Alligator mississippiensis: one gene and its partners. The protein of the gene in region 3 interacts with the protein of the main gene of each other region in a pairwise test. Links are inferred from orthologs where the notes say so. Each region holds a gene or a part of one and is shown on either strand. Other genes may lie near its edges.

Region 1 (3,743 bases), on a different chromosome or scaffold from region 3:
CTAATACTGTGTGGCACCCCGTGGCACCTCTGAAAGGATCTCAAGGCACCCCACAGGTGCTGTGGTACCCTGTTGAAAATCACTGCTCTTGATAAGGCCAATTTCAGCCATGACCCTACGCAGAAATTCGGAGGCAAAACAAGTTGGGGGTGATGCTGTCATTTGTCCCAGGAAGTGTGCAAATGGAAGATGAATTTACCCACTTGTGCATGAACTTAATATTCCTGGCAAGATATACGAAAAGACTGGGCTAGAAGGAAATCAGCAACTTGCTAAGTCACAAAAATTAACAGAGCCAAAAGATAGAATAGCACCCACCCAGACCCAGGAGCAGCATTATGTCAGTGACTACAAGGTAACAAGTCCCAGCACCTAGTCCAACAGAGAAATCAGATTAATAGGTTTCCTTCTGGTTTTTGCAGTCAGATTTCAACATGCTTTAGGATGAGTCAGAAGTCCAACTCCCATAGGCAGCCTGAGCCTTTGTGTCATCCAACTCGCATCAAATCTTGTCACCTTCCATTACAACATACGCCAATTTGAAGCCCCGTAAGACACAGGGAGATATAAATGAGACATGGCATGCCACAAATGAGGACACATCACAAGAGAAGAACAATACACAGCACTGCTCACATCTGCCGGCATAAATACCATCAAGCAGTTACGATCATCCACAGATCTATCTACAAGGTTCTTTTACAGTGCCAGTCTCAGTCTGACAAGTCAAAAGGAGTTTAAGGAAGTCATGCTGATCTATGTGAATGCTAATGGAAGAATTAACAACTGCCAAGTAAAAGCAAGGGAAGGACTCACCCAGCCTGATATGAGAGATTAGAGAACCATAAATTCCATTTCGGGACCTTGCAATCACTGCACTTGCCTGCAGATTATGAAGTGAAGATTGCAAGCGGATTTGAGATCAGCAGAATGATTTTCCAGCATTAAAGACTTCCTACCATCAGCAATTTATAAACTGCAGGAGCTTTAATCAAGATAAGGGACCCCCTGGACAGAGCCCTTTAGGAAAGCAGCTGTCAGTTATGATTTAGAGAGATGACAGATAAAGAAAGAATGGTCTGTTTCTACAGATGGCGAAGCTGAAGCAGTAATGTGACCTGCTTATGATCTCAAAGAAGACCATAGCAGAGCCAAAAAGTGAACTCAGTAATTCAGTCTGAAGTTGGTACTTTAACAAACAGGCCTTTTCCCACCACTTCCCACTTTAACCCCAATGGAAGCAAGTGTGATGAATATTTTCTTAGGGTGTTGCTCAAATACAAAGTTAGGGAAGACTGCATTAAAAACTCCCAGCAGAAGGGACTGTTTGTTCAAAAGCAAACAGCAAGAGCCTAAGAGCAAACCAGAACATAAGCAAAACTGAAACTGATACTGCTCAGTCAAAGGTCACTGTAGTAAACTACTAAAAGTCAAAAATGGATTGTCAATTCAAGCAGTTTAGGAGACACAATAGCTCTTAGCCACAGCAGGAAGGAAATCCGATTTAAAAACTTCCAGTGCCCCGTTAAAGAATCCTAATCAAGAAACCATCGTAATTTGAAGGCAGGCACCACACCTAAGTGTCAAGGTGCACAATTACCTAGGGAGACTGGCCTAAAGTTCAAACACTAACCTGGGAACTTGGGTTCCAGTCCCTGCTTAGCGCTGGGTGACTCTAAATAAGTCACTGCATCTCTCTGCCTCAGCGTCCCACCAGTAGAAGGGGGGTAAGAGCACTGCTCTACCGCATGAGACTTCACCAGAGATTAGGATGCGATTGTATACTATGACAAGAATACACAAACTTACTGCCAGTTCCTAGAGCAGCAGCTCAGACTCCAGCCCCTGCAACCAGACCACGAACAGGCAGAGCCGTTCTGGGTCCAGATGCAGGTTCAGAGCCAGGGGTCGGATCCTGCTGAGCATACCAGACGCAGTGTTTATCGCCATAAACAGTCCCCTTGTGGCCTACAAGACAACTCTCAGAGCGTGACTGCACTGAACAGGTTCGCTGTTACGCTGGCTGGGGATGTGAAAACATTGCACCACTAACGAACAAGTTTCGCCGGCACTTCTCGCAATCCAGACCAGGGCCTTGGTAACCAGTGTTCGCAGGCTCTGATCCCAAAGACGCGAGAGTGAAATTCCTTAAAGCCGAGACAAAGGATACAATTTTCAGGAGCCGGGGAGCCAGAGTCTGGCTTTTCCAGGAGCGCGAGTCTCACTGCACCTCGGGGGATTTGGACAGCGAGAGGCCCGCGTCGCTCCCGGGAGCCACTGGCCCACACCCCCGCGGGCAGCTCCCACGGGCCCGGCTGCTCCGACCCGCCGACAGCACTGGAGCCGGTGGGGATGCAGTAAAACTCCCGCTCGTGTCGGGGCCTCAATCCCCATCCAGAGGGAGGCGGACAGGCCCGGTCGCGCTGACGGCCACGCGTGACACCGGCTCCGGGGCCTAGTGCGGCCGCCGCGGAGGGGCACGGGCACGGCTTGGGGGCGACCGCGGCCCCGGGCTCCCGCGGGTGGTGGGGGGGAGGGGCTCCCAGAGGGCGGCAGGGGCAATTGGCTGGAAGCTGCCGGGACCCCCGCGGCCCCACACCCGCCTGCTCCCCTCGGCCCGGGACCCAGGCTCACCGTGGCGGTGCGGCTCCTCAAACGACGGCGACCACGACTGGGCAACGACTTCCCGGCGCAGCCCGGCGAGCCCCAGCGCGCATGCGCCCGCGCGGGGCATGCTGGGGGATGTAGTCCCGGCGGGCGGGGCCGCGCGCTAGGGGGCGGGGCGAAGCGTGGGGAGGCTCGTCCTGCTTCTTCACGTGGCAGCGCGGCTCTCAGCTCCAGGGTCTCTCCCTCTTCCTCCGCTGGTAGCAAGTTCCCCTCACCTCCTAGCTCATGGGTTTACTCTCTGGTTTCAGAGTATTTATCATCATCTCTTCTTTGTCTGCCCCTTTTAATGGAGAGAGAGTTGCTGTCTGTGCTGCGTTTCGAGAGCCGGCTCAGATAAAAGCTGCTTTGCCCAGTGACGTTGTGGTGGATTAGATGGTGGGATCAAGACATAACGATGAGAACAACCTGTTACAGGGATAACTAGCAAGGCTGGGGAAGGTGATTGAAGAGGGGCATTTTAGGATCTGAGACTTCCAGCAGGGAAACACAGACATTCTTGTAAAGAAAACCGTGTTTATGCATCGGTTTTCCATCACTCTGTGCCTCAAAGAAGATTCATTGATGCAGGTTAATCCTGAACTCGCGTCCTGTTTTCTGCGTTGCTCTGGGTTCTTGAACCCTCCGACATCAAACGAGCCTAAGAAGTCTGAACAAGAATCAGATACGGCTTTGAAACCAGCGTCTGATGAACACTAATCATCCCCATTGTGGCTGTGAGTGATAAAGGCAGGATTGCAGAAGTGGCACAAAGGAAGAGAATTACCTGCAGGATTAAATAACCTTTCTGTTCTCAGCCTTAAGGATGAGCACTGAAGAAAGAGCTTCATTTCTCCAAAAAGATTTGAAAAGCCTTACAGGGAGGGGGCTCAGTTCTCTCCTCTGCCAAATTCAGGGTCAGGCTCGATCACACATTTTTCAAGAACAATTCTGCATTGGTGGAGACAGCTGGGTTAAAACAACCTCACTTCTTCCCACTTCTGAGACATTGGCAATTTTTATTCTGAGTCTTTTGTTGAAAGCTTTTTATTGTACAGAGCAGGAGGATTGATTTTTTTTTCTTTAGCTCTAATTCTCTT
Region 2 (3,743 bases), on a different chromosome or scaffold from region 3:
TTAATCATAGAAAAATGTGGATTTGGGAGTTACTGTTTTTTAACCGAAAATTGGGGATTTTTTAACTCAGAGAAGCCCAGGGTCCCTGGACATTGCCAGGAAGTTAGGCAGCTCGCAAAGGGAAGACGTTCTTCCTCAGGTGTGAAGACCGGAAGCGGGGCGCAGCTGCCCAGCTTGCTGAGGAACCACGTCTGCCATTCGGACGCTCGTCCAGCTTTCTCCCAGCGACGTAGCTGGTGCAGTAACAGAGAAGGCCCTAAGAAATCCTTGCCCCCCGTGTCGTTTCGGGCCCACCAGGGCTACAACGTCTCTATTTCACTCCCATTACCCGGACGGGATAACAGACAGCAAAAGCGCAGAGGAACGGGTAGCTGTGTTGGTGGGACGTCAGGACCATTGAAAGGGACGGAGGTTGTTCACCCCGGCGGAGTGGAGAGATTAACAGGAACCGGGAGAGGACAGAGTCAAGGGGCTCTCTCAGCCCCTCTCAACAGAAACGCGGCGGTGGCTCCTGCCGGGCGCTTGGTTTTAAACATTTGGGTGGAGCAGAAATCAAAGGGGGGCCACGCAGCTCCCGATCACCCGCACAGGCTCCTGCGGCAGCTTCCCCGGCGGGCTGCGCAGGGCCCGGCTGCTCTGGGGGGGCCGTTAGAAAGCTTAGGACAAGGCCCCACGTGCAGCGAGGCTCACGTGGCGAGTTCACGGGCCAGCGCAGTGGACGTGCAGGGATCCGAGCGCCCCGCGGACCCACCCCACTGCGTCCGCCTGGGCCTCTGCCCCTCCAGGCTGGAGCTGAAGGGGTTAACTGCAGAGAGCCCCCTCTTACCCACCCAGAAATAACAGCCCCTTCCCCTCAGGGGAAATGGTTTAACCCACTCCATCTCAAACAGCATTCCACCCCTCTTCCTCGGGGCGAGTGGTTGGACCCATCCTGTCTCCCCCCCCCCCCCCCGGCAGGTTATTTAACCGCAGCTCATTCCTCTCCGGCGCAGGTGGTTTAATCCGCTTTCCCCCTGCACTTGGTTTAAACTGTGCCCGCCCCTTCTTCCCAGGACAGATGGTTTGCCCCTTTCCCAGCTTGGTTTAAACTCCTCCTCTAGCAAGTTGGTTCCTTCCAGACCACTTCAAGGATGGTTCGCCCCACACGCACCCCGCCCCGTCCTCCTCTGTGAGAATGGCTTCGTCCTTCCCTTCCCGCAGATGGTCTCTCCCGCCTGAAGCGAGAGGCTCCGCCCTTTCTCCCGTGCCCTCGCTTCACGTCCCCGCAGCATCACAGCTCCGCATTGGCTCGGCGGGAGGCGCCCGAGCCGCGCAGCCAATGGCCGCGCTCTGCCTTCCCGCACCCAAGATGGCGGCGCCGGGGTCGGGTCGCGGGGGCCCCGGAGGGAGGCGGTGAAGCGGCCTCGGCCCGCGGCTCCGGGACCCGCCGCCGCGCCGCTCCCGCCCGGGGCCCGGCCGCGCCATGGCCGCCGACAGCAGCAAGCAGTTCTGGAAGCGGAGCGCCAAGCTGCCGGGCAGGTGAGGCCTGAGTTGCCCCCGGGCCGGGCCGGGCTTCGAGGCCCCGAGGCGCTCCCTCCTCCCCGCCCGCGGCCTTCCCGGGCCCTCGTGTGGCCCTGTGTGCCTCCCCCGCAGCCTCCAGCACCGCAGGCCTGGGCGCTCCCAGTCAGGCCCGCAGCCCCTTGGCTCCAGCACCGGGCCCGGGCCGCGGTTTCCACGGGGGTGACAGAGAGCGGCCTCGCGCTCGTCGCTCCGTGCGCCCACGACGCTGCCCTGCCGAGCGCTTCTCCTCCCTTTCCGACTTGGTGTCGAGAGATCCGCCGGCCGGGGCCAGGCGAGCCCGAGCCCCGCGCTGCAACTTCCCGAGGGTGGAGGTTTGGGAGAAGTTGCTGGTGGCACACCGCCAGCCTGTCATGTCTGTTGCAGAAGATAGGGGTAGCTCTGTCTCTCGCGTCTTCTGTGCAGTGATCCTTTCCCGGCCCTGCAGCATGGTCCGGGCACGATCTCCAAAAAGGAGCTCGCGCAGAGAAAGGGAAGTTTCTTTTACAATCTGCTCGCTTTTGGGATCTTCCCTTGCGCGTTCACTACCTCCGCCTCCATCTTCCTGAGAGGGAAGAGACGAGCCTTGAAGCTTTCTGTAGGCGCCGGGTGCTCGTGGCGGGGTAGTTCGTCGGGACCGTACCCTTTCAGAGGCATCCTTATTCCCGTCTTAGACGCGCGGGAGGGGACAAAGGTGTGGAAGGGAAGCGAGTTGCCCGCTGTCACCTGCCCGATGCAGTCGAGCCACTCATTGCTTTTTCCTGTTACTAACAACACTTCCAGCTGGGGCTGTGGGGAGTCTGAGCCCGGCCATGTCTTGCTGAATAGGAGGAACCTGGTTAGTTTCCCTCGTGTCCTGCCCAGTGGTTTATCGAGTCCTGCTCTAGGGAGAGAGGCTCAGCAGGACACCACATTGCTTGCCCTCCATGCGTAGGGCCTTACTATTAATAATAAAAGTGGGTTATGCTGCTCTGTGGGAGTAGCAGCGGCTTGCTTTTTGAAATGTCGTTGGCAGGCTTCTAGGATTTACTTTCTGCTGCTGCATTGACACTAAACAATTCATCTCTTTATATGCAGTAGAGCGGATGGACCGCAGCAGAGAGCTGCTTTGTGTTGAATTGAAAGAGACCCTGCCTCAAAGAGTTTTTGTATCTAAATTTCAGTAGGTGAAGGTGGAAGGAGGGAAGAGACAGATGGACAGTGACTGCTCCAAGGTCACCCAATAGGTCATTGCCGGAGTTGGAGCAAAGCCTAGGTGTCTGCTTCTGGTCCAGTGCTCTCCTCACTGATCCAGTGTCGTCCGCCAGTGGAGGAGAACGACCAGGTGAAGCTGACTCAATCCAGAAAGAGGACTTGCGCAGACTAGTTTCACTAGCCAAACTGAGCTCCATTTAAGAAATCAATAGTGTCAGAGGTGCTGAGAGATCAAGATTAGTGTATTCTATAATAAATGTGGGGGATTTTTAATGATAGTCACCCCCAGAGCCACTTGTCCTCTTTCTGCCTTGGTTTGCCCACTTGCAGTAGTGAGGATGGGCTAGCCCAGGTTTGCATGCTGCTTTCGGATCCTCTGTTGAAAAACTTAATATCAGGCTTCTTCGCCTGATCAGGCAGTGGGGATGAAGTTTTACTCTCAGACCCTCCTGTGTAAGCTGCTCAGCTCTTTCACAGTCTTGTTCAAGCTTTTGCTCTTCATGGTTTCTGATGTCTAAGCCAGCCAGCAAGAGCTAAGTCAGCCACATAAATGACTCATAAAGCTGTTTTTTACAGTTTTTTCTAATCATATCCACCCCTGGTAGCTCTAACCACTACCAAGTAGGAAACAGTCACCTACACTTCCTTCAAAAAAAAAAAAAAAAAGTTTGCAGTAGGGCTGTAAGCAGTCAGGTTGTGTTGTTAGAAGCCTGCAGAGTTTTCAGCCACATCAACTTGTGCTTATCAGTATGTTCATGACTTCCTGGGTAGAGGAGAAGCACAAAGAAATGGAGCGTTTGCTGGCAAGTGGAAGCTTGTGCGATCTCCAATGTATCCTTAGAAGTTGCCCCACTGTAGTTTCCTCCCTGTGAGCATTGCTGGTTCTCTTTTGCTTTGTTCTGTCCTTCAGCCTGTCTTTAGAAGGACAGCCAGGGCAGGGGGTTATCCAGTGAAGTCAGTGGCAGAACATGCCTGCACGCACGAGTTGTATGGCACCCTCTGAAACTCACTGT
Region 3 (3,743 bases):
CACACTTGCTGCCCTCAGAGCCCAGCTGGCCAGCAGGAAGGAGCTGAGGGTGCTTGCGGGTGAGCAAGGCCCCACTGGAGCATGGGGGGGAAGACTGGTGGCCTGCGGCAGGCCCCAGTGCTGGCCTGCACCTCATGCAGGGCCCTGCTTGTGGCTGCCGCCATCCTCGGGCTATGCAGCGTGCCCCAGGCCTGGCTGCTCAGGTGGTGCCCCCAGATCTGGGCCAGCACCAGTGACTGTTTTTGACACCCGGGTCTGTCCTGGTGCTGGGCTGGTGCCTCTGGGCTTGTCCCAGGTTCTGGCAGCCGAGGACAGCTGCCCCTTTGGCTTCAGTGCCTCTAAGCATAGACTAGGCCTGGCTTGGTCTGGGGTTGGGAGTCCCATGGCAGAGGTAGAAATGTAGGATTGGCTTCTGTTGGCCTTGGGAGGGGTGAGGCCTGTGCCCCTCACAGTCTCTGACCCTCTGCTTTTGCCCCGCAGAGCCCCGCAGACCTATCGTGGCACAGCCCCCACCAGCAGCTACCAGAGCAGAGACCCCACCAAGCGCCAAAGCCCAAACAGAAAAATGAGGCTAGTCCATGTCCCGGCGCCTCCACCAGGACTCAGCGCGGGGCTCCCCCCCAGTTGTTGCTGCTTGGGCATCCCTGTCCCGCTGCGCTGGCAGCACTGGCCCGGCAGCCTTGCCTCAGCAAGAATCTCAGGTTAAAGGGGCCAGCGCCAGCCTGGCTCCCCAGGGCCCCCTGCTGCCTGGTCACACCTAGTGGTTGTGGGGGCTGCATAGTAGCCCGGAGCCCCCGGTACTGCGGCAGCTCCCCATGCTTCCTTCACCAGCAGTGACACTGAGCCCCACGGCAGGGGGTCGCCCTCAAGGCCCAACCAGAGACCCTGGCCGCAGCCCCACCCTGTGCCAGCCTGGCCCCCACTCACCAGCACCCCCCCCCACACCAACTCCCCTTATAGTCCCCCCTTTGGCCATGTCCCCAGGCCTGTGGGTGCCATGTTCTCCAGGGTGGGGCCTGGCTTACACAGCCTGCCTGAGAAGCACGTGTGTGGAGGCCGGCTGGGCCGTACTCCGCCTGGGCATGCGTGAGACCGGTAGCACTGTACCTGACCCCCCGGCCGGCAGCAGCAGGGCTCGGTGTCCCAGCAGGGCTCCTCCCTGCATGCTGGGTGCCAAAAGCTGCTCCCGGGGGCGGGAGCACAGCCCCTTCAATGTAGCACCCCCTTTCCTGCGCCCTGGTTTGGCCCTGCGGCTTGGCCAGCGCTGCCTGGCTCTAAGCCGCCACCCAGGCCCTTTGGTCTCACCTGGGCCCAATGCAGCAGGGTCGAGGAACCTTTTGTATGGATTTTATAGACACCATTAAAGGATGAGCGGAGGGCATCTGCCTCACTGTATCTGTTTGTCCTGGGGCTGGGTACCCCCTGCTTCTCCTGCCCGTGCTGCAGCCTCTGTGTCCTGGCCCCCCTGTCAGCAGGTCTCCAGTGCCCTCAGCCCAGGTCGTGTCCATTGCACCTGCTCTGGGGGCTGCTTGCACTTGGTGCTGGGTCCTGTTGTCTGCTTCAGCCCTGCTGCTCATGCTGCCACTCACCCAGCCTGTGCCCCACACCCTGTCTTAGTCATGGGCATCAGGCATCGCGGCCCATCACTGCAGCTATGGCTATCTCTTGGTGGGTCCCTGTGCTTCCCTAACTCAGTGGGGAGACAGAGGGTTCCCAGAGGATGTGGCCCTTGTCCTGTCAACTGTGGAGCTGCAGGCTGCCCTCTTCTTCCTTGGCTGCTCTTTCCCCTCACAGCATGGCAGGGGGTGGGGAACTTATCATGGCTAGGGTGGGCTCTGGCACCAGGCCCCAGCTCTGGCCTCCCCCAGTGGTGCTGCCAGTGCTGGGAGCAAGTGTCTGGGCCCATGGGCTGGGCTGTGTGCGAGGTGGCTGCGCCACACTAGGGTAGGGGGTGGGGGCTGCCCCTGCCAGCACTGGTGGGAAGCTTCCCACAGCAGAGACCTGTGCTGCAGCTTGGAGCTTGGACCTAAATTTGCCTGTGGGCTCGGTGCCTGGGCTGGGCCTGGTGCCACCTGCAATTGTTCAAGGCAGGTAGTGTCCTGCCACTCGGGCTTGCGCCCAGCACGGGCTGTACCCACCACTGGAGCCCAGGCCCTGCCTCACTACCTAAATATAGTGCTGGAGGCTCCCTGCCAGGATGGGGGCCGGGGGGGGGCACTAGGCTGGGCTGTGCCCCCAGCAGAAACAAGGGTCTAGCGAGCGGGTTCCAGCAAAGATGGGGGAGGTCCCTGGTGTCTGCTTCACAGGTTTACAGAAGCTTAGGGACTGCTGTTTGCTGGGTGGCTGCAGCGGCCAGGGGGCCTTACTCAGCCCCAGCTTCTCCCAGCTGCCATCCTCCTTGCACCCAGCTCCCTGGAGGGGCTCAGGTGTGCGGGGGCCAGGGCCTGGTGCTGGGGGAGGACCCTGTGCTAGATTTCAGACTGGCAGTGCTGGCTCTGACCAAGTTATGTACTGGCTCCCTGTCTCCCAAAGCCCAGGCCCAAACAGGGGGCACTTGCTGAGGCCCAGGGTGATTGCAGGACTGTGGCCTGGTGTCTGGGCATGTCCCCAGGTGTGGTGTCCCCAGGCATCGCATGCTAGCTCCTGGGATGTGCCTAGCACGGTGTGCTGGCTGGAGCTCCCTGTTTAGAGCAAGCCCAGGCCCCAGGGAGAGAGCAGTACCCCTTGCTCCCATGGCCATGCTATCCCTCACTGCCTGTGGACCTTGCTGGGCTGTGGGCTGGGGCCTGCATCCCTGGGCCACATCTGTGGCTGTCTGCTGGGGGCAAGAGCAGTGGTGTTCCATGGGCACATAGGGCTGGGGCCTTTGTCCCAGCTCTGTAGCTCTGTCCTGGTGGCAGAGGTTGCAGCGCGACCCAGGAGCATGGGGTTGGGGCCTGGGCTATCCCCTGATGGCCACGACACCCCCCCAGGCCTTCCCCACATTCCCCCTTGCCCCTGGCGGAGCCCTCAGCCTCTGCTAGTAAGGCCCTCAGCACCCTTCTTCCCTGGGCTGGGGGGCAAGTAGGGGGTCCCATGGGCTCTCCCAGCACAGGCGCCTGCCTGCCCCATGCCCCTCTCCCTCCGGGAGTGTGTGACTCAGTGTCACTCGACGCTACTGACAGCTGCAGCCGCAGCCAGGGATAAAAATGGAGCTGGAATTTCAGGGATGCTGCACAGCACAAAGCTCAGCTAAAATTAGCCCCTGCTCTCACCCTTGCGGGGATGGGCAGAGGCCAGGGACGGGCAGCGGAGCCCCAGACGCGCTGGGGGCAGCTCCGGGACGGACGGAGAGAGCAGGCAGGCCGAGCACGGGGCAAGCGAGCTGAGAGCAGGAACTGCCGGTGGAGCTAGTGGGGCAGACAGGACAGGGCAGACAGAGAGGTACTGGGGCAACCGGACGGCAGGACAGGCCGGCGGCAGTACCGGGGCAGACAGAAAGGGCAGGGCAGACATACTGAGGTACTGGGGCGGCAGGACAGGCCGACAGCAGTAGTGGGGCAGACAGCCGAGGCCAGGCAGCCCAGTGGTGGTAGTGGGGCCGAGGTGCAGTGGGGCAGGCAACGCAACCGTGGGGATGAACTTTGCGGTGGGCTTCAAGCCGATGCTGGGGGACGGGCAGAGCATGGACACGCTGGAGAAGCAGCTCATCTGTCCCATCTGCCTGGAGATGTTCACCAAGCCTGTGGTGATCCTGCCCTGCC

The links.
Region 1: the proteins of TRIM54 (region 3) and DTX2 interact in binary tests that used the Homo sapiens proteins (3 or more experiments, as listed by UniProt). The two-hybrid records come from large-scale screens. The link is inferred for Alligator mississippiensis from reciprocal best matches to the Homo sapiens genes TRIM54 and DTX2.
Region 2: the proteins of TRIM54 (region 3) and TBC1D22B interact in binary tests that used the Homo sapiens proteins (3 or more experiments, as listed by UniProt). The link is inferred for Alligator mississippiensis from reciprocal best matches to the Homo sapiens genes TRIM54 and TBC1D22B.

Annotation. Positions count from the first base shown.
Region 1 is NC_081837.1:16,777,622-16,781,364, forward strand, and holds the start of DTX2 (probable E3 ubiquitin-protein ligase DTX2), read right to left. Parts: upstream 2,729-3,743; 5' UTR 2,635-2,728; intron 1-2,634. UniProt on the Homo sapiens protein: Regulator of Notch signaling, a signaling pathway involved in cell-cell communications that regulates a broad spectrum of cell-fate determinations.
Region 2 is NC_081837.1:35,936,066-35,939,808, forward strand, and holds the start of TBC1D22B (TBC1 domain family member 22B), read left to right. Parts: upstream 1-1,365; 5' UTR 1,366-1,462; coding exon 1,463-1,518; intron 1,519-3,743. UniProt on the Homo sapiens protein: May act as a GTPase-activating protein for Rab family protein(s).
Region 3 is NC_081824.1:197,169-200,911, reverse strand, and holds the start of TRIM54 (tripartite motif-containing protein 54), read left to right. Parts: upstream 1-1,485; 5' UTR 1,486-3,616; coding exon 3,617-3,743. Other genes in the region: DNAJC5G (dnaJ homolog subfamily C member 5G), read left to right, coding at 481-569. UniProt on the Homo sapiens protein: May bind and stabilize microtubules during myotubes formation.